3 linked regions of the Elephas maximus indicus genome follow. The protein of the gene in region 1 purifies or fractionates together with the protein of each later gene. This does not show direct contact. Links are inferred from orthologs where the notes say so. Each region holds a gene or a part of one and is shown on either strand. Other genes may lie near its edges.

Region 1 (6,989 bases):
TCAACTTGGCTGGGCCATGATACTTAGTGTTTTGGCAGTTGTATAATGTGATCACTTTCCTGTTGAAATTTGATATGTGATCACTCCCATGATGGAATGTGCTGAGCAGTACCGGTGGGGGTAAGTTCTTCATCTCTCCGCCTTCCAAAGTCTACTTCCTTTTCCTGCTCACCTTGCAAAGGTTTTTGGGTTGTTCTGGATCCAGCAGCTGATTCTTGTCTGACTTCTGGTTCTTGGGACTTGAGCTAGCAGCTTACTTGTCCATCTTGTGATTAGCCGATCGTCACAACCTGTGAGCAAGAGTCCTGCTCCCGGCCTGCCTATCTTGGGTTTGCCAGCCCCTGCAGCTGACTCAGGAGAAACTTTGAAGTCTTGCTTGCTGACCTTTGGGATTCCTCGACCGTCACAACTTGAGAGCGGAATCCCTGCTCTCCAACCTGTTCATCTTGGGTTCACCATCTTCTGCAGCTCCATGAATTGGGAAAGGATTCTATCCTGATCCAAGGACTTGGGACGTTCCAACCCCTACAATCGTGTGGGCTGTTTCTTTAATTAAATGTCTCTCTATATATTTATAAGCATTACTAGTTTTGCTTCTCTGGAGAACCCAGCCTAAGAGGGTCTCCATATCACTTCTCTATACAACTAACACATCATAGGTATGTGTTTTTGTACATGTAGTAATTCCATATTTCAGTAAAGCATGCCTTAAGCTAGATTCTCTAGAGAAGCAAAACCAGTAAAGTATGTAAACAAATAGAGAGAGAGAGAGATTTATATCAAGAAAATGGCTCACACAGTTGTAAAAACCGGCATGTCCCAAATCCATGGGTCAGACTGGAGGCTTCTCCTAATTCACATAGCCACAGGGGTTGAGGAACCCAAGACTGGTAAGTGAGAAAGCAGGGTTCCTATTCACAGGCTGTGAAGACCAACGAATCCCAAGATCAGTGGGCAAGGCTGCAAGTAATCTGCTAGCTCAAGTCCCAAGAACTGGAGTCAGATGAACAGGAGCCAGCCGCAGGATGCAGAGTGAGCAAACAGCCCGTGAGCAGAATGTTCACTTATATCCCATGCAGGTCACACACTCAAGGATACTCCCTTTCAACTGATTGGCTACTCACAGCAGATCCCATTATAGGGGAGATCACATTATATCAAATCTCATCATGGAAGTGATCACATCATCATACAACTGCCAAACTACATCATAACTACCAAACCTCTGAGAATCATGGCCCAGCCAAGTTTATACACAACCCTAGTGATCACAGTGTGTTTGCTAAAAAAAACACGAAGGAAATATGGTTTAACCTTGTGAAATGAAATCATAATGAATTTGGGAAATTTCATTTTTATTTTCAACCCTTCTTTGAAATATCTGCTCATTTCATTGTATCTACATAAAGGCACTCAACTCTTCCACACAGAGCAAGTATATGTGGGGGAACCATCAGCAGGATTGTCCAGTGAATGATTCCAAAGGCTTAAGTTGTCTAGAAAGGAGCTAGCTGGCTGGAGGACTCCTTCTCTAAGCGGGAAAGGCTGTACACAATCCTATTTTTCCCAGGTCACCAGGGGCCATGTCCCCGGCTTTCCCAGTACTCCCCAAAATGGCTGGGTCCAAGTTCAGGCTGCTTGGTTTCTGAGTCCAGATGTTTATACCTATCACCAACCCCACCTCCACTTCCCCACATACAAGGCCACACACAATTATTCTTGTAACAGGGTTGGGGGCTCAAACCCAGCCTAAGCATGCCTCTCTGTGCCTGCTATCTCATGCCCATGAGTTCCAATCTTTAGCAAGTGACACGCTGATATTTACCTGAGTTCCCTAATTCACTGAGTGATTTTGGGAAAAATCACTTCCTCTCTGAGCCTCAGCTTCCCTATCTGCAAAATAGACCATATAGTCTCAAAATCCCTTTGAACTCTGAACTTTATCGTGACTTTATTTTGTCCCTAATAAGGTATGATCATCATTATATTAATTGCTACCATTTATTAAGCTCCTGTCGTCGGGTCGTCGGGTAGTACAAACAGTTAATGAGCTTGGCTGCTGTTGTGGATTGAATTGTGTCCCCAAAAATGTGTATCAACTTGGCTAAGCCACGATTCCCAGTATTATGAGGTTGTCCACCATTTTGTTATCTGATGTGATTTTCCTATGTGTTGTAAATTCTGCCTCTATGATGTTAATTAGGCAGGATTAGAGGCAGTTATGTTAGTAAGGCAAGACTAGATCTACAAGATGAAGTGAATCTCTTTTGTGATGTAAAAGAGTGAAGTGAGCAGAGACTCATTCTTCAATCTGTCTCAGCTTGGTTGTGAGTTCCATCAGGTAGCCTTCTCCAAACCCCCCTAGTTAGGGTTAGATGCCCCTGCTACTCTTATGTTGTTATTGTTGTGCGCCATCAAGGGGATTCTGACATATAGTAACCCTATATGTCAGAATAGAACTGCCCCGTAGGGTTTTGTAGGCTATAGTCTTTACAGGAGCAGATCCTCAGGTCTTTTCTCCTGCTGAGCAGCTGGTAAGATCGAACCAGCACCCTCCTTTCATGGAGCTTATACTCTTACTGAGGAGACTAAAGATTACATAGGCAATTCCAATATAGTGTGATAAATGTTGCAAGAGGAGAAATACAGGAAACTAGGATAGCAGCAAGGAGCAGTGGTGGCGCAGTGGTTAAGTGCCAGCTGCTAACCAAAAGGTTAGCAGTTCAAACCCACCAGCTAACCCAACAGCCGCTTTGCAGGAGAAAGATATGGCAGTGTGCTTCCATAAATATTATACCCTTGGAAACCCTATGGGGCAGTTCTACTCTCTCCTATAGGGTCACCATGAGTCACAAGTTGACTCAACAGCAATGGGTTTTTGGTTTTTGACGGAAGAAGCAAGGAGCCCTGGTGGTACAATAGTTAAGTGCTCACCCCCATTAGAATTAACCAAAAAAAAAAAAAAAAAAAAACATCGTCATCAAGTCAATTCTGACTCATAGTGACCATACAGGACAGAGTAGAACTGCCCCATGTGCTTTCCAAGGAGATCCTGATGGATTTGAACCACCGACCTTTTGGTTAGCAGCTGTAGCTCTTAACTACTACACCACCAGTGTTTCCCCGATTAGAATAGCAATGATGAAACAAACAGAAAACAACAGGTGTTGGTGAGGTTATAGAGAAGATGGAGCCCTCATCCATTGCTGGTGGGAAAATAAAATGGTATAGCCGCTGTGAAGAACAGTTTAGTGGTTCCTCAGAAAGTTAAACATAGAACTATCATATGACCCAGCAATCCTAATCCTACGTATACACCCAGATGAAGTGAAACCCTAGTGGCATAGTGGTTAAGAGCTACAGCTACTAACCAAAAAGTCAGCAGTTCAATCCAACAGGTACTCCTTGGAAACTCTATGGGGTAATGTTCATTGCAGCACTTTTTACAATAGACAAAAATTAGAAACAGCCTAAATATTCATCCATTCTGTGTAAGAAAACCTGTGGAATTAGTTCTGCCTGTTAAGAAATTGTGATTTTTTTCCCCTTGTAACCTAGCCAAAACCTAATGTTGCCAGTTTATTTCCAAGGGGCTTTTGTGTAACTGTGACCACTCTGTGAACTCTTTATGGTAACTAAGTGGCAACTAACCAAGAAAGATCAGCTTCTTTGTTAATCTTTATATTGCCAGTGCCTAGAATAATAGTACTGGCATGTAGTAAAAAAAAAACAAAAATTGTTTTGTTTTGTTTTTTTTTTTTACCTGGCACATAGTAGGCACTCAATAAATATTTGTTGAAGAAATAAATATATACACTAACACCAGGCTCTTTATGTTATGTAATAGGAAAAACTAGTATCATAATACAAAGACCAGTGCCCCTTAAAACAGTTAACTCATACTTCCTTTCTTAAAACGTGACTATAAAAAGAAAACTCAAGTGAAACAAACTCTCTTCTTGAAGGCTGCCTTTCTTGTCCACAGAAGATTAGACGCTGGAAGAAAATGGCTCAGCACCGCCTGTGGATCTTGCTGCTTTGCATGCAAACCTGTAAGTTCTGACCCTTGCTGACCCTCTCCTAGTCTTTCCACAAAGTTTTAGAAATTGTCCTTGAGGAAGATATTGAAGTGCCCTTTTGATGTGTGTTTTTAACAGAAACACCTTGAGTCTCTGTATAAAAAAAATCTGTATATGCTGTACTCAAAAAAGGCTGGGGAGAAACTAAGATTCAACCTAAATATTTTTCAGCTCTGGAGTTGACGTTTCTGAATTTTATCTGTGCCCAGTCTCCAAAGGTCTGAGATAAAACCCGTTGTTCAGGACAGTCAGCGCTTAGTAGACCCACCCACAGAGCCCAGCAAAAACATAGATAATCTAAAACCTTGAAAAATTTTAAAAAACAATTTCTTTTACCCATTAGAATGTGTTATTTGGTTTTTGATAAAGATACGCTCTCCTGATTATATTTCGTTGTTCTATCATGTTATAGTAATGCATTACTTATGATTATCACCGTAAAAACCTCATTTCTATAAAAATCAATGAAACTTATTGCTGTGGAGTCGATTCCGACTCATAGCAACCCTATAGGACACAGTAGAATTGCTCCAAGGATCAGTTGGTGGACTGGAACTGCCGACCTTTTGTTGGCAGCCGTAGCTCTTAACCCCTACACCACCAGGCCCTCGTTTCTATAAGATCCCTTTATTTTCAAAGCATGTTCAGAGCTAGTACTCTGCTTTTATCCTCCAAAACCCTCTAAAATAAATGGGGAAGAGATTATTACCCTACTTTACGAATAAATTAAGTTTCAAAAATGAGGTGGAGAACTTGAGCTAAAAATCTTGTTTTTCTCACTTATGGCTTTAGGGTAAACTATAAAGGATAAAATAAAAATTGGTTGTTGTTATTACAAGGAGAACTATGTAGCATTAACATAGATTTGAGGATGCTTTATTATTTCACATATTTATCTCATTAACTGCAAACAATTGTCCTGTTTGTATAAAAATTGACTGTGTTTGACATTTCCGAATCATTATTTCTAGTGTGTCTTACAGCTCTGAAAATGCTATAGTAAATTTCTGGCACGATTTAGAACCCAGGGAACTTGAAGAGTAAAGATTTTCTTAAGGTGGGATAATGCACCTTGGTTTCTGGTTTCCTGGACCATTGAAAGCTGTAGCTCCCTTAATTTGAGCTTCGTGGAGATTGCAACCTCTAGGCTGGTCAAGTTTTTGAACCCTATCGTGGTTGCCCTGGTCTGGCAGACAGAAAATGCAAGTAAATTAGGAAAAGAGCTGGGTAGAACCTAAGTGGAATTCTCAGGTCCTATCCAGTCATCCAGAGACAAGCTGGACAGTGTGGCATTTGATACTACTTAATTTGCAAAGCAGTCCACAATTTTCATGCCTACGTTCTTGGAAACCCTGGTGGCGTAGTGGTTAAGAGCTAAGGCTGCTAACCAAAAGGATGGCGGTTTGAATCAACCAGATGCTCCTTGGAAACTATATGGGGAAGTTCTACTCTGTCCTATAGGCTCGCTGTGAGTCAGAATCGACTCGATGGCAATGGGTTTTAGGAAACCCTGGTGGCGTAGTGGTTAAGAGTTTGGTTGCTAACCAAAGGGTCGGCAGTTCAAATCCACCAGGTGCTCCTTGGAAACCCTATGGGGCAGTTCTACTCTGTCTTATAGTATCACTATGAGTTGGAATTCTCTTTTTGTTTAAGTGTTCAATAATTTTTTTTTTGTGTGTGTGTGTGGTGAAAATATACACAACAAAACTCCGCCAATTCAACAACTTCTACATGAATAACTCAGTTGTGCAACCATAATGGCTATCCTTTTCCAAATTATTCCACCACCATTAACATAAACTCAATGTCCCCTAAGCAAAAACTTCCCTTTTTCCCCCTCCTTCCCACTCCTGGTAACCACTAATAATACACTTCAATTTCTATATATTTGCCTAGTCCTTATAAGTGAGATCATATAATATTTGTCCTTTTGTGACTGACTGACTTTACCCAGTATAATGTTTGCAAAGTTTATCCATGTTGTGGCATGCATTAGAACTTCATTTCTCTTTATGGCTGCATGATATTCCGTTGTATGTATATACCACATTTCCTTTATCCACCCGTTGATGAACATTTAAGTTGCTTCCACATTTTACCTATTACAAAAAGTGCTGTAATGAACATTGGTGTACAGGTTTCTGTTTGCCGTGCTTCGTTGGCTTCTTCTGGGTGTATACCTAGGATTAGGATTGCTGGGTCATATGATAGTTCTATGTTTAACTTTTTGAAGAACCACTAAACTGTTTTTCATAGTGGCTATACCATTTTACTTTCCCACCAGCAAAGAATGAGAGTTCCAGTTTCTCCACAACCTCACCAACACCCTTCAACGCCGTTGTTTGTTTCCTCATTGCGATTCTAATGGGGGAAACCCTGGTGGTATAGTGCTTAAGAACTACAGCTGCTAACCAAAAGTCGGCAGTTTGAATCCACCAGGCACTCCTTGGAAACCACATGGGGCAGTTCTGCTCTGTCCTATATAGGGTTGCTATGAGTCGGAATTGACTTGACAACAATGGGTTTCGGTTTTTTTTGTTGTTGTTTATTCAAATGGGAGTGAGGTGGTATCTCATTGTGGTTTTGGTTTGCATCTTCCTAATGATTAATGGGAAACCCTGGTGGCATAGTGGTTATGTGTGATGGCTGCTAACCAAAAGATCAGCAGTTCAAATCCACCGGGCACTCTTCGGGAGCCCTGTGGGGCAGTTCTACTCTGTCCTATAGGATCGTTATGAGCAGGAATTGACTCAACAGCAATGGGTTTGGGTTTTTTTTTTTTAATGACTAATGACATTGAACATCTTTTCATGTGCCTGTTCAGTCATTTAAATATCCTCTTTGTCTTCTCTGATCTACTGAAACTGAAGTCGAAGTGATCAGGTTGGAAAGTGGTAAATCATTCAAACT
Region 2 (7,020 bases), on another chromosome or scaffold:
TCCGCAATTAGAGGGTTCACGACTGGAGAAAGAGGCAAGGAGAGTTTGAAAGAAGGAACCCTGATGGCGCAATGGTTAAGCACTAGGCTGCTAACGGAAAGGTTGGCAGTTTAAACCTACCCAGTGGCTCTGCGGGAAGAAGAGCTGGCAATCTGCTCCCATAAAGATTACAGCCTGGAAAACCCTACAGGGCAGTTCTACTTTGTCACATGGGATCGCTATGAGTTGGAATCAGCTCAACAGCCCCCAAACCACACAGTAGTTTGAAAGGCATACGCAATGTGCTATTTCTGCAACAAAAAGACAGAAACTAAAGCTCAACAAAACATTCTTGGATAATGGAAATTAACAAAAGATTGAATGAATAACCTTTCCAAGTGAATCCTATAGTCAATGCATGCTTGTTAACTATATCTTGTTGGACATGTGTACGGTAGCATTTACATTTTTATTTCAACTGCCTAACATAAACATAAGAGTTTTGTTTTACAATGAGTATGTGGTTTGTTTCAAATTAAAAATAGATTTCTTTGTTATTCTAGTGTAGTACCAAAAAGGGGGCATGAAATATTTATGGGGGCCATGAAATAAATATTTCTTCATCAAAAAGGACCCTGGGATATATGCTACTAAATAAATATTCCATATAGAACAAGGTAAAATTAAAAAAAAAAAAAAAGGTGGGGGAGGGACCCTGGGCTCAAAAAGGTTGAGAAACTCTGCTAAAAGGCAATGTATCATTGTATCGCAGCAGAGCCTGAAAACCCTGCTATCACTCTAAACAGTTCCATTAGACTGGGAGGCCGCTGTGTACCAATCAGAAGACACACTTGGAGACTCTCAATTTGCCTACTAACCCTATTTTCTGCTACTTAATAGGAGGTTTTCATGGAAAGCTACCAGTCATTTTAAAAAATGCATTTATGCAAGATTCACTTTGGGTGAAAGCTAAATGTTTGAAAATTTTCCACCTGCTTGAATTAATTACTTATGTGGCCCTGACCTACATGAGCAAAAGGCTAAAGTTCTGTATTTTACTTAAAAAAAAAAAAAAAAACAGCAATCTTATGCTTCCCTACCCAGGCTTCTTTTGTACCTTCTTTTTGTACCTCTAGGTTTAGGCCCATCATCTCCTTTGTCAGCTTTTCTAAAGCAGCCGCTTTCACCACCCACTCACTCTTCTGCCTCCTTTTGATAAGAAAAAAGCCGGGGAGCGCCAGATGGCTTTCATTGGCCTTCCCTAGTTTCCAGTTGGGGAAAACAATAATATAAGCCAAACATGAAGACCTGCTCAAGAGATTCAATAGCTTCCACGTATTTCCCTTGAAGTCTTTACAATAAATTGGTTTAGCGTGCCAGAGAGTGAGGGTATTCCGCTTAACTGAGAGTTGCCACAAACGTGGATTGCCCCTTTTAAAAAGCCAACATACAAATGGAAATCCTCTAACACCAGCCTCAATGTAATCTTTCTCCACTGACCCAAACGGTACTGCAAAATCTTGCAGTCTATCATTAGGTACTAAACCAAGCATTCTTCCTCATTTTGTTTCTGCCTAGGAACTACTGTGCAGGGCTGCTATTTTCATGGGTACTTTTACCCTGTTGCTGAAAGTGTTCGGGCTAGGACCTTCCCTGGAAATACCCCCCCCACACACACACAGAGTACTAAAAGAAATCAAACTGAAAATAGAAGAAGGTAGTAATAATAACACTAGCTTACGCTTATTGAACATTTACTACGTGTCAGGTCCAGTCCTAAGTTTTTTATGTGCATTATGGCATTTAATCCTCACAGTCCTGTGAAATATTACACCCATTTTATGGATGACAAATCAAAGGGACTGAGGGGTTAACTTGCCAGAGGTCACAAGACTAGCATCTGACTAGCACAGGGTTGGATCTCAGATCTGCCTGACTCTGGAGCCCTGGAGCAATAACAAAGGAAGGTGTGTCTGTTTCAAAATGGCAATTTAGCCTGAGACATGTCTAAGCCAAGGGCAAGGTTGAATCATAACAAGAGCGTTTTCCCTCTGTGCCCTTTATGACTGTTGTCAGTCTTGGCTTTTTTCAAATAAAGGGTCCCCTTTCTGAAACCTCCAACCGCCACACAATTCCTTTAAAGGAAGCTAAATAAGCAGACCCAGAGAAACAGTTTTATTCACAACCATCCCCCCTCTCAGCCATGCCAACCTAAGTAGCATTGCATTCTCAAAAGTAATGGACTCAGTTTTTGAGTCTTCTTCCTTTCCTTGAATTCCATGGTCTTCCTTTGGGATGATGCCTCCAAAATCATTTAAAGAAAGCTGGCTGAAGAGAGGCCTTTCCTTTTCTCGGGACTGGTGACCCCAAATATGGCCAATCCACCATTCCCAGGCTCCACCTTGCTGACCTCCAACTTGAAGGCAAAGCAGAGTCCGGGAGCCTGGATCTTTTTTGGAGTGACAGTAAATTCCAGGCCGTGTTTTCCTACCCAAAACGGCATTCTCTGCAGCTGCCCCCAAAAGGCCCTGGTGAGGTCCTTCTGGAGCACCAGGAGCCCAGGACGTGAAAGCCCCAGCGAGCTGTCTAGGTCAAAGTGTGGTCCACTACGGCCCCAGGCTGGGCCAGAAGGCGCCCTCGGGGCCGCTGAGCGAGCAGAGGAGGCCCCTGGAGCTTCGGCTGCTCTTTTACCCCTGCCTGCGTGCCCTGGCCACCCCCACCCATAGCCCGTGCCCTTGACAGGCCCAAGGCTGACTGCTGCAGGCCAGGTCCTGGGCCCCCCGCGGCGAAGTACTCACAGAACACACAGGCAGTACACGCCCGGGACGCTCTCACTGTCCCTCAGCAGATAGCTGCCGTCCAGACCGGTGGCGAGCAGGAGCTTTTCCCCGGTCTCTCGGCTGATTTTGCCGTGATACACAGTCACCGCCTCCATGGCCTGGTGGACTCTAGGGCAGGCCGAGGCGGAGGAAGGGAGAAGGGAGAAGCCACAGCTTCTACGGCTAGGCACTAGTCAGCCACCTGGATCCCAGTTCAGCCAGATGTGTGAAAAAGAGAGAGAAGCAGCCGAACAACAGGATGTTGTCGACGTGCCTTAAAACCTCCTTCTCACACTTCGGTTAAGACCAACTCAGCAATTTAGCAGCTTGGCTATTGCCACCAGGTTCACCTCCCTTTCCCCACACTTTAATCATATGGAGAAGGGAAGAAAGTCCTGGCAACAGGGTTTGAGCTGCACTACCAATGCAGACCTTGCACACAGACAGGAACCCTTGGCAGCGCTTCTGTTCTTCCAGTTTTCTCAGGGGCCACCAAGGATAACTCAGCTTAACTAGCCCCCAAAGGGATGCTTGATAAAGGCAAATTGAATATGGCCCTCATGTGGGGCGCTAACATACTGACAGAGAATGGAAGGACTAAAAGCTCTGAGATCAAAACACCAAAAGTATGGGTGTTATTACTGAACATGACCACGAGGCTCCTACAGAAGGAGAGGTAGTAGGTGAACAGTGGACACTGGGTAAACCCTTCATCTTCCTCCTCCTCCTCCCTCATGTAGCCATCTTGAGCAATCTTAGGCCTGACCAAATATTGATTTTTTTCCTACCATCCTGTCCGAAATCCCAAGGTACTGGCTGAGGTACAGAAATCACAGTCTGTGTCCAAAAATGTTCCAGATTTATCTATTTGATGGATCATAGATGAGAGAATGAATCAGCTAATTGGTGCTTTGCCTTTATGTGGACACGTATGTGCCCTTTGATATATAGGGCCCTTCTTCAGAACCTGGGGCATAAAACCTGTTTTAAATCTTTTTTGCAAATGGTGACAATTGCGCTGTTAATTTTGTTCTCTGTTGTTTCTAGAGAATATGTTTTTTTCTTCAAATGATGCTAAACTGTTGTTAATTTTTTTTTATTTCAACCTCATTTCCTTCTCTGAAGTAAAAATCATTGATTCTAGTTCAAAATGCACTGTTAAGCAATATTTCCCCAAAACATCCTCCATTTTCAATAAAATAAGACTTTGTTTAATGCCTAAAGCTGAATGGTCTTACACATGTACGTTTAGGTCATGTAGAATACTTTTTTAATCAGAATTTAAATAGCCTGTTGTATACCTTCCATTACTTCGATGCCTAGTTCTTTGAGAACATAGCAAGGCCGGGAGCTCAGTAGGAAGAATGATTTTTATTCCTCACGTTTTCTTACCAATGGATCAGATGCACATAGCTGCCTTATACCACAACCAGATATTTGCTCCCTACCCAAAATGCTTAAGAACAAACAATCCTCTAAGATTTAAGAGGCAACTAGTAGCCACTCTCCTTGATTGAAGAGTGCCCAGCCTTAACAGTAACTAATGTAGAGTCTGTCAACCTTAGTGTTGAACCTAAAGTGTTTATGTAAACATAAGCCTCTGCAGTCATTTTCAACACCAAGAATTAAAAAAAAAAAAAAAAAAAAAACAGCATTCAAGATAACATATGGGGATGGATCTTGGGAACTGGGCAGAAGTTGTCTCATCATCCTCCAACCTCACTTGTTTTTGCCCAACTCCACCTCTCGCCCCTTTTCAGGCTTTGGGTCAAGGAAGAGACCGATCTGGGAAGTGAATGCATACTCCAATGTTAAGGATTGGAGAAGCTAACCGCCCCCCCGCCCCCAGACTCTTTGTATTCTGAGAGGGTAAATGGTTAAACCCAGAGAAATGAATCACAATGGTGGGGTTTCAAACGTGAAAGGAGAAGATAGGGAAGGGGATCCCCTCATATCAGTCTGTATGGACAACAGCCTGCCTGTGAAGTGAACCGTAAGAACACTCAGTGTCACATAGGTAAAAGCAAAACCTAACCTTTGTTGTCTCTGAACAACCCTGAACAAATCATCCACAAACTTAGGAACAGAGCAACCTAGATCTGACAGCAAAAGCTTACCATACATCCTTCTTTTCTTTCTGTGTTTTTTTCTGTGTTGCTAAAATAGCACACCTGTCAAAGCAGCCAGGTCCAATGGGTTCCAGCACAACTAAGATCGTATGAAAAAAGAACAGAGAAATTATAAGGTAATAGTACAACTCCCATATCCAGTGCCTCATTGTCTCACAAGCAAGCTGACAGCTAAGCCAGCTGCCCACTACTGCAGTGTTGAAAAATAGACATCTTCACTGTAATGCTACACCGGTACTAAACCGGACTTTGTAGTTGTTGTTAGGTGCCATTGAGTCGCTTCCGACTCATATGGACCCTATATACAACAGAACCAAACACTTGACTTTAGCAATTCAAAGCTTCACACTGAGCTTGAAATGTAGAGAAAAGAGGCGTGGAAATGGTTCTTTTTCTCCTCTCTCTCCATACCCACAAGAAATGAGGGGAAAAAAATGAGAGAGAGGAGCCATGGACATGGTGGAGACACCAACTGAAAAAGGATTGGTTAGGATTCTGCCCATTTGGAAGCAGAATTAGTTGACTAATTGCTTGTTTTCTGTCTCTCCCACTAGAACCTAAGGTTCATGACAGCAGGACTTCGTAGGCTTTGTTCGCCACTGTATCCCCGGTACTGGAGTATGTCGTTGTTGTTGTAGGTTGCCATCGAGTCAATAATATTTGTTGAATAAATGAAATTAATGCTCTCAAGAAAATAAAAGAAAAAAATATTGAAATGCTATTTTACACACACATACACAAAAACACACACCAAACCAAGCCCATTGCCATCAAGTGGATTCGAATCGTAGAGGCCCTATAGAACAGAATAAAACTGCCCCATAGAGTTTCCAAGGCTGTAATCTTTACAGAAGCAGACTGCCACACCTTTCTCCCACAGAGCGCTGGTGGGTTTGAACTGCTGATCTTTTGGTTAGCAGCCAAGCACTTAACCACTGCGTTACCAGGGCTCCTTACAAACATACACACACACACACACACACACACACACATTTAGCTCTACGTGCCTCCTGCCCACCTTCGAAACAGCAAGATTGATTGGGATGAACACTAGTCCAGTAATTATGACAGTCCAATTATGCTCCTTGTCTTGCCACTAAATCACTTCCTCTCTCTCAGCCTCATCTTCCACATCTGTAAAATGGAGTCGAACCAGATGACCCCTAAGGTCATTTCCAGCTTTCACACCCTGTGCTTTAAAGGAAAGCCAAGCATGCTTTACAGAAAAACAGGGGAAATGTACCGAGCTCGTTTGTGTGCAAGAAGCAAGAGCTGTTTCCTCAAGTCTCACCCAATAGGGGAGCGATTTTTGTTGTTGTTTTTTTTAAATAAACTGAGAATAAAAACCATGAAGTAGAGGAAGAGAGCTTCACAGTTTCCAGCAAACTACAGCCTTTTATAATATAGATGCCACTTAAATAAAATATAAAAGCACTGAAGTTAGAAAAACTGTCAGCCAAGGTTGAAAGTATCTTCCTATTCAAGCTTGTCATCTCCTGAAGCCTATGAGAAGTGACAGGATTTTGCATGGGGATGCCCTGTCTGAGGTGCTAATTGTCTTCATTTCAAATGCCCTAGGCTATTCTCAGACCCAGGTAGATTATAGGGCTGATGCCAAGGCTGGTCAATTTTGTAGAGTGGATCTGACATTTCAAAAAGTCTTTTTCTCTAACCTTTCAAAACTAACTTTGTTCTTCAACTGGCTCTTCTATAGGTGTGAATTCTCCTGTGACAGTGTTATGATGTTGTCACCTATTGCGAATTTACACATTCTCTCGGTACTCACTAAGATTCACTTCCTTTACAAAAATTAGAAAAGAAAAAAATAAGGGATCTTAAAAAAAGAGCATCTCCTTTTGATAATATTTTAAAAATTGTAAGTGGGAAGCCAGAGATAGAGTTCTTGTGTGTGTTGATTTAAACCTGTTTTAAACGTATTTATTCTCTCAAGAGACATTTACAAGCCCTGGTGGCACAGTGGTTAAGAGCTACAGCTGCTAACCAAGAGGTGGGCAGTTTGAATCCATGAGCAGTTCCTTGGAAACCCTATGGGGCAGATCTACTCTGTCCTATACGGTGACTATGGGTCGGAA
Region 3 (7,683 bases), about 2.4 Mb from region 1:
CGCTGCATTCGTTTGTTGAAACATCTCAATTGATATTCTGTCAATTCCTGAAGGCTTGTTTTTTGCCATTGCCTTCAGGCAGCTTGGACTTCTTCCTTCAGTACCATTGGTTCCTGATCATATGCTACCTCTCAAAATGCTTGAATATCAACTAATTCTTTTTGATATAATGACTTCGTGTATTCCTTCCATCTTCTTTTGATGCTCCTTTGTAATTTAATATTTTCCCCACAGAATCCTTCACTATTGCAACTTGAGGCTTGGATTTTTTTCTTCAGTTCTTTCAGCCTGAGAAACGCCGAGCATGTTCTTCCCATTTGGTTTTCTATCTCCAACTCTTTGCACATGGCATTATAATACTTTGTCTTCTCGAGCCACCCTTTGAAATCTTCTGTTCAGTTATTTTACTTCATCATTTCTTCCTTTTGCTTTAGCTGCTCGATGTTCGTGAGCAAGTTTCAGAGTCTCCTCTGACATCCATCTTGGTCTTTTCTTTATTTATATCTGTATACCCCCCCAACCTTAATCAGGATTCTGCTATAAATTCCTTGATCAAAATGTTCAGTAATGGTAGCTGAGCACCATCCAGTTCTTCTGGTTTCATGGCAAAGGAGGCAGTTGTTCTTGGGGGCAATTAGCCACACATTCCATATCTTCCTCCTAATCCTGACTGTCCTCCTTTCTCTGTTGCTCCACATGAATAGAGACCAATAGAACTATCTATATGGAATCAGACAGAACTATCTATATGGGATCAAATTGATAACAGCAACTGGAAAGATTAAATAGGAATCTTAGGAGTCCGTGAATTTACATTAATGAGGGAGGAACAATTCAGAAAAGGAGGGTGAGAATGGTTGCACAACTGGAAGAATGTAATCAGTGTCATTGAATTGTACATGTAGAAACTGTTGAATTGGTGTGTATTTTGCTGTGTATGTTCTCAACAATAACAACAAAATAAATAAAATTTAAAAAGATACTACCTTTTGCATAAGTCATTTTGTGCTGCTTCTGCCTGTATAATTTTGTGACAGATTTCTAGAACTGAGATTGTTCATGTGAATGTACATGTAACTTTTCCAAGCTCCCTTTGCTGGCGTTGTAATCACTTTGTAGTCTAACCAAAGATCTATGAGAGATCCTATTTCACTATAGCATAAGCAACCCCGTCTGTTGTTAAACTTCTGATTTTCATTAATGGATAGATGAGAGATGTTATCTCGATATGGATTTAATTTTCCATTTCTTTTAATATGAGTGCATATAAGGGTACTGGGTTTTGAAATAGGAAAAAAGTAAGCAAAGCCCTGGGATGACCAAGAGCCTGAGCATGCACCCAATTATTTCCTACCAAGGAGTTTCTGGGTGATGCAAATGGTTAATGCGCTCAGCTCCTAACTGAAAAGTTGGAAGTTCAAGTCCACCCACAGGTGCCTGGGAAGAAAAGCCTGGTGATTTACTCCCAAAAACAAATCAGCCGTTGAAAATCCTATAGAGCACAATTCTACTCTGACACACATGGGGTTGCCATGAGTTGGAATCAATTTGATGGCAGTGGGTTTGTTTTGTTATGTCAAAAAGCATCCTTACAGCAAGCTTGGTACCCAATTTTGTCTTCCAACAGTAATAATTCTATCCTCAATTGCTATAATTCCTCTGGAATTAAGTTAAGACTTGCCCAAGACCACACAAGTAACAAGAAGATAAACTTGGATTTGAAAGCCTATCTCTCTGATATCAGGTTCCCTGGTTAGTGAAACTCCACTACACCAACAGCAGAACAGTGAGGTTTCCAAGGAAGAACAAAGATCTGCAACAAGGACGTTTCCTGGAAGGACAGCTAGTAGGCAGAAGAGCAAGATGAAATAACTTTCTGGAAAGTGACTTCACTAGGATTGGTGTCATCCAGTGTGGTAACTCATAAAGTCACCCGGCTGGGGTGCGGAGGGCGGATGTCAAACCTCCCCAGCTCCCAGTGGGTGGAGGGGCCCAGTCCCACCCCGCCCCGATGCAGGGCCAAGTTCTGAGCTGCCTGGCCCTGCCCCTTCCAGTCCTGCAGCCCCACAGCTCCCTGCAAATCTCTTCCTTTCTCTCACTGGTCAAGGCAGAGACCCTGACTGGCAGTTGAGGTGGGGGGTAGTGCTGAGTTACCACAGTGGGGGATGGGTGACACCATCTCTACTGATGCCATGCCTTGGCAGCCTCTCTCCGGTCTGCCTGCCGCTGCCACCACCATGGACCCTGCGGTCGTTTGTTGTCAGCCCCTCTGATAGTATCTGGGTCAAGACTACACAGAGCTCTTGAGAAGGAGAAATAAGGATGAGTCATGAGCACATGTTTATAGATATGTACTTGAGATATATAGTGATTCCCACAGATATTTGGTGAGGCAGCTGGATAAAGGGAAAATGATTCACTTAAACAGTAGTTTATACAGATGGACATCATGTGATGGTAACTGTGAGAGCTAAGTAAATGCAATCAAATTAAAAAATTGGATTATAGGTATGATTGCATGGCTTATTTTATCTGAAATTAATGCTACATCAGGTGGTCTGGTTGCGCAAAGAGGCTTTGGGAATTACTCTCAGGGCTAACTCTCACTCTCAGAAAACAAAAGCCATGTGACTACCTGCCTTTCCCAAGAGTATCCACTGATCAAGATGGAAAAGTCTCAGCAGCCTAAAAAAAAAAAAAAAAAGGATTTTCTCATCAGCACTACGTGCCCTGGTCTAAACGGGGTGTCTCTGGCTGGATAGTTTTTTTTTTTTTTGGTCTTTCTTCATGGGGACAGATCACTGCTGTCCCCCAGAATGGGAACTCCATAGGAACTGGGGGTTTCCAAACCCAAGCCCAATATCTTCTTTTCTTCCACCTGGAAGAAGCATTCCTGCGGTAAGTTTTCGTACCCAGTTATCCCTTCCACTTGTACCAGTCACTCCCCCAAAAGGCACAATGCCTGAGGATGTTAAAAATAGCCTTTTTCCCTCGGTGGCTAGGAGCCTTAGTCACGAAATGGACTGTCCTTCCCAGTGGTGTCCAGTTGATTTCTCTTCGCATTGATGTCTTCTATTTTTCATGTAATTTGACCCATGGAAATGTCATCCTTTCAATTTTCCCATTGTGTCTGGACAAATCTGAATTCATTCAGCATTCAAATACCTTTAAAAAAATTTCTTTTATTGTGCTTTAAGTGAAAGTTTACAGTTGAAGTTAGTTTCTCATACAAAAATTTATACACACATTGTTATGTGACCCTAGTTGCTCTCCCTATAATATGATAGAACACTCCTTCTTTCCACACCAGGTTTCCTGTGTCCATTCAACCAGCTTCTGTCCCCTTTGGCCTTATTATCTCACCTCCAGACAGGAGCTGCCCATTTAGTCTCATGTGTCTACTTGAGCTAAGAAGCACTCTCTTCATGAGTATTATTTTATGTCTTATAGTCCAGTCTATTCTTTGTCTGAAGAGTTGGCTTTGGGAATGGTTTCAGTTCTGGATTAACAGAGAGTCCAGGGTCCATGTCTTCTTCCAGAGTCCCTCTAGTCTCAGTCAGACCATTAAGTCTGGTCTTCTTAATAGAATTTGAGTTGTGCACCCCACTTTTCTCCTGCTCTGTCAGAGACTCTCTGTTGTGTTCCCTGTCAGGGCAGTCATTGGTGGTAGCCAGGCACCATCTAGTTCTTCTGGTCTCAGCCGATGGAGTCTCCGGTTTATGTGGCCCCTTTTGTCTCTTGGGCTAATATTTTCCTTGTGTTTTTTGTGTTTTTCATTCTCCTTTGCTCCAGGTGGGTCAGGACCAATTGACCTATCTTAGGCAGCCGCTCCCTAGCTTTTAAGTCTCTAGATGCCAGTCACCAAAATAGGATGCAGAACATTTTCTTAATAACCTTTGTTATGCCAATTGACCTAGATGTCCTCTGAAACCATGGTCCCCCAGACCCCTGTCCCTGCTACTCTGTCCCTCAAAGTGTTTGGTTGTGTTCAGGAAACTTCTCAGCTTTTGGTTTAGTCCGGTTGTGCTAACTTCCCCTGTATTGTGTATTGTCCTTCCTTTCACCTAAAATAATTCTTATCTACTATCTAACTCATGAATACCTTTCACCCTCCCTCTCCTTCCTCCCCACCCTCATAACAGCATCCAAATACTTTTTGAGCACCCATTCTGGGCTAAGCATGGCTAATCATAGGTAGCTTCAGCAGAAAATGGGCAGCTGTTATAGCAAAAGCGGTGGTGCTCTCTCAGGAGAGGATCCTAGCAGCCAGAGGAGGCAAAGCCTAGCAATATAGGGTGATACACAAGGCTGCAGCCCAGTTCTGGGAAGCTTAACTTCAGCATTGCAGCCCCAGCCATTGAACATCACTGTTTCCACTATGTGCTAGAAAGTGTTCCCATCCGATTCTATGAGTCAAAGAAACTTACACTCAAGCCTTTTATATACTGAAATGGCTTGGTCACTTCATCACCCCCGCCCCTCTCACTTCCTGAAGCTGGCTGAGTCTCACAGAGAAACTTCATCTCACTCCCACTGGCCAGAAAAGGAAGAAGTGTTTCCATAGTTACGTCAGGCCAGCTGCCTCCACTTCCCTCCTTAGAGCTGGCCCTCGAATTGGGGCTGGATTTCAGGCCGACAAGGTGGCCTGTGATACGACGGGGCTCTCCATGGATCTACCTTACTACCACGGCCCCTTGACCAAGAGAGACTGTGAGATCTTGCTGCTCAGGGAAGGAGTAGATGGCAACTTTCTGTTGAGGGACAGCGAGTCGGTGCCAGGAGCGCTGTGCCTCTGTGTCTCGTGAGTAACCTTACAGTCAAATACTACATCAAATGTAGTGATGGCAACCAAATATAAAAGGAATTGCATTTCACTCTGACTTTGCAACCCAAATGAGTCGAGTGAGGACTGGGAGAGGTTGGAAAGAAGGCGTCTGTCCCTGCTCTTCCATCTGCCCTCTCTCTCCCTGATGTAAATGCCACCTAAGCAGAGCCTCTGGGTGAAGGAGAGGGCTGCAGGAAGCATGGGAGGTGAGGGGGAGTGGGGAGAAGGTAGAAAAGTGAGAAAGATTCTCTTCTCTAGAAGTCTGTTTATTTGGTATGGAATAGGTTGGGCACCCTTTTGAGATTTCAATCTGAGAGACCAAGTTTTTACATGTATTCTGCTGCCTCTACTTGGAATACTTAAATTATAATAATATTTCACAATTTTTATTCAGATTAGTAAAGGACTTCAACAAGTGTCATTTCCTTGTACACTTCTTGTGTACATAAGCGGCCACCATTTTGTATGTAAGGAAACAGAGACCTGAATGTCTCAAATGACTTGCTTGTGTTAAAACTCATCTGGTGTTTCCAAAAAGTTTGAATTGAGTAAGGAATTCCAGCCCAGGGTATCAGAGCTACCTTGCTGAGGGAACTTGTTTATGCTCAGTTTAAAAAAGCAATCCCAAACAGTTATCAGTAGACACCTCCTATCTTTGTGTGCTCTTCTCTTTGTAGAGTCCACTGACACTTTTCTTCTATTAAAGGAATTAAAACCCAGGTGTCTCTATGGGAGCTACTCAGAAAAAAGTGATTGTCATTACTGTCTTGACAACAAGGAGTTTTTGGATTTCTCCTCACTTATCGACTATCTTGTTATCTGACATTTTGCATTTATGACAACAGGAAAAAATCGACTATCCTACTATTTTACCCATTAACAACGTATGTTGGGTAGTAATAATGCTGGAGTGTGAGGCAAGAGTAATGCTGGCTTTTATGGTTAAGGTTATGTGTCCGCTTGACTGGGCCATGATACTCAGTGGGTTGGCAGTTATATAATGACGTAATCTGGCAGTTATGTTGTGATGTAATCATTCTCGATTTTGCCATCGGATGTGGACATCCTCCTTTTTCGTGTAACACTGATTTCACATAATGACCTGGTCTTTGGAACCTAACCATGTCGATAAGAAAGGAGAGGGTGTATTAACAGATAGAATCCAGTAGCCCATTAAAGGAGAAAACACACTATGACCAAGTGTGGTCCAATCCATCAAAGATGAATTGATTCCATATTAGGAAAATGATGCATCTAATTAAGGTGCCACAGTGGCACAGTGGTTAAAACACTTGGCTCCTAACTGAAAGTTCAGTGGTTTGAACTCACCAGCTGCTCCACAGGAGAAATATGTGGCAGTATGGTTCTATAAAGATATACAGCCTTGGAAATTCTACGAGGCAGTTCTGCTATGGCCTATAGTGTCATTATGAGTCAGAATCAACTCCACAGCAGTGGGTCAGGTCAAGTCATGCATTTAATTAATTTGAGTTATTGATTAATTATTAACTTAATTGATTAAATTAAACATATTGACATGAATAGGTCAATAGTTACAAATGATATGACTCACTCAAATTTGCTTAAAATGTATTAGATAAAATTCAGATTAAACATCCTATTTACATTAGCAAAAATAGTAACATGCAGGAATAAATGTACTATGACATGTGTAAGACTGACTTAAATATCTACTGGGAAGCTTACAAAAAATCTTGAATGAATGGAAGGTCTCAAGTTTGGAAGCTTGTCTGTTCACCTTAAATTAATCTAAAATATTCCATATGTTTCCAGGAGAAAAGACAGATTTTTTTAAAAATTTGCTGCAAGGACAGTGAAGTTGACCTAGGTTAGGGGTAGAACATGGAACCTGCTGGAATAGCCAAAGATTCTTTAATTTAAAAAAGAAAGACTAGCTCTACCAAATATTAAAATATTAATACATTATAAAACTATAGTAATTACTACAGAAATTGAAAGAGTTTGGTACTGACAGATCAATAAAATAGAATATAGAATCCAGAAACAAGGTCAAGTACACATGGAATTTAGCATTTGCTAAAAAGAGTGTTTCGAATCAAAGAGGAAAAGATGAATGATGACTAATGGGCACTTGACTAGTCACTTAGAAAAAAGTAAACCTAGATCCCTTAAAATGAAATTAATTCAAAATGGTTCTAATACTTAACTTATTTTTTAAAAAATGAAATCACAAATATTAAAACACAAATTATTAAAAAAAAAAAAGTCCTGGAATTGAGAAAGCCTTTCTAAGCAAAAAAATGAGATGCAGAAACCATAAAAGAATGACAAACGTGACCATAGTAAAAAAAAAAAAAACTTAAAAGACTATTGACAAAAAAAATAATAATTTTTATTAACATATAAAGAACTTTAAAAAAATCAATAGAAAAATAGAAAGCATACGAGCAGGAGATTCTCAGAAAAGAAAGATATGGAAAAATGCTACAGCTCACTCATAATTAAAGAAATACAAGTTAAAACAACACCAAAAAAAAAAAAAAATCCAAACCCATTGCCGTAGAGTCGATTCCGACTCATAGAGTACCTATAGGACAGAGTAGAACTGCCCCACAGGGTTTCCAAGGAGTAGCTGGTGAATTTGAACTGCTGATGTTTTGGTTAGCACCTGAGTTCTTAACCACTGCACCACCAGGCCCCTAAGAATAGTAAGATGCCATTTTTTCCTATTCAATGGACAAGAATTCAAACTGTGAAAATGCCTAGAGGAATTAGAGTGTTGGGAAACAGTCTTGCACACTTTGATACAACCTGTTTGAATCATAAAAAAACTCATTGCCATCGAGTCGATTGTGACTCATGGTGACCCAATAGGA

The links.
Region 2: the proteins of CD84 (region 1) and SH2D1A purify together in Homo sapiens (affinity purification with western blotting; 4 studies listed by BioGRID and IntAct, with this or other methods). This does not show direct contact. The link is inferred for Elephas maximus indicus from reciprocal best matches to the Homo sapiens genes CD84 and SH2D1A.
Region 3: the proteins of CD84 (region 1) and SH2D1B purify together in Homo sapiens (affinity purification with western blotting; 3 studies listed by BioGRID and IntAct, with this or other methods). This does not show direct contact. The link is inferred for Elephas maximus indicus from reciprocal best matches to the Homo sapiens genes CD84 and SH2D1B.

Annotation. Positions count from the first base shown.
Region 1 is NC_064821.1:199,305,220-199,312,208, reverse strand, and holds the start of CD84 (SLAM family member 5), read left to right. Parts: upstream 1-3,967; 5' UTR 3,968-4,006; coding exon 4,007-4,052; intron 4,053-6,989. UniProt on the Homo sapiens protein: Self-ligand receptor of the signaling lymphocytic activation molecule (SLAM) family.
Region 2 is NC_064846.1:32,313,337-32,320,356, forward strand, and holds the start of SH2D1A (SH2 domain-containing protein 1A), read right to left. Parts: upstream 3,103-7,020; 5' UTR 2,915-3,102; coding exon 2,778-2,914; intron 1-2,777.
Region 3 is NC_064821.1:201,677,271-201,684,953, reverse strand, and holds the start of SH2D1B (SH2 domain-containing protein 1B), read left to right. Parts: upstream 1-4,595; 5' UTR 4,596-4,667; coding exon 4,668-4,801; intron 4,802-7,683. UniProt on the Homo sapiens protein: Cytoplasmic adapter regulating receptors of the signaling lymphocytic activation molecule (SLAM) family such as CD84, SLAMF1, LY9 and CD244. In SLAM signaling seems to cooperate with SH2D1A/SAP.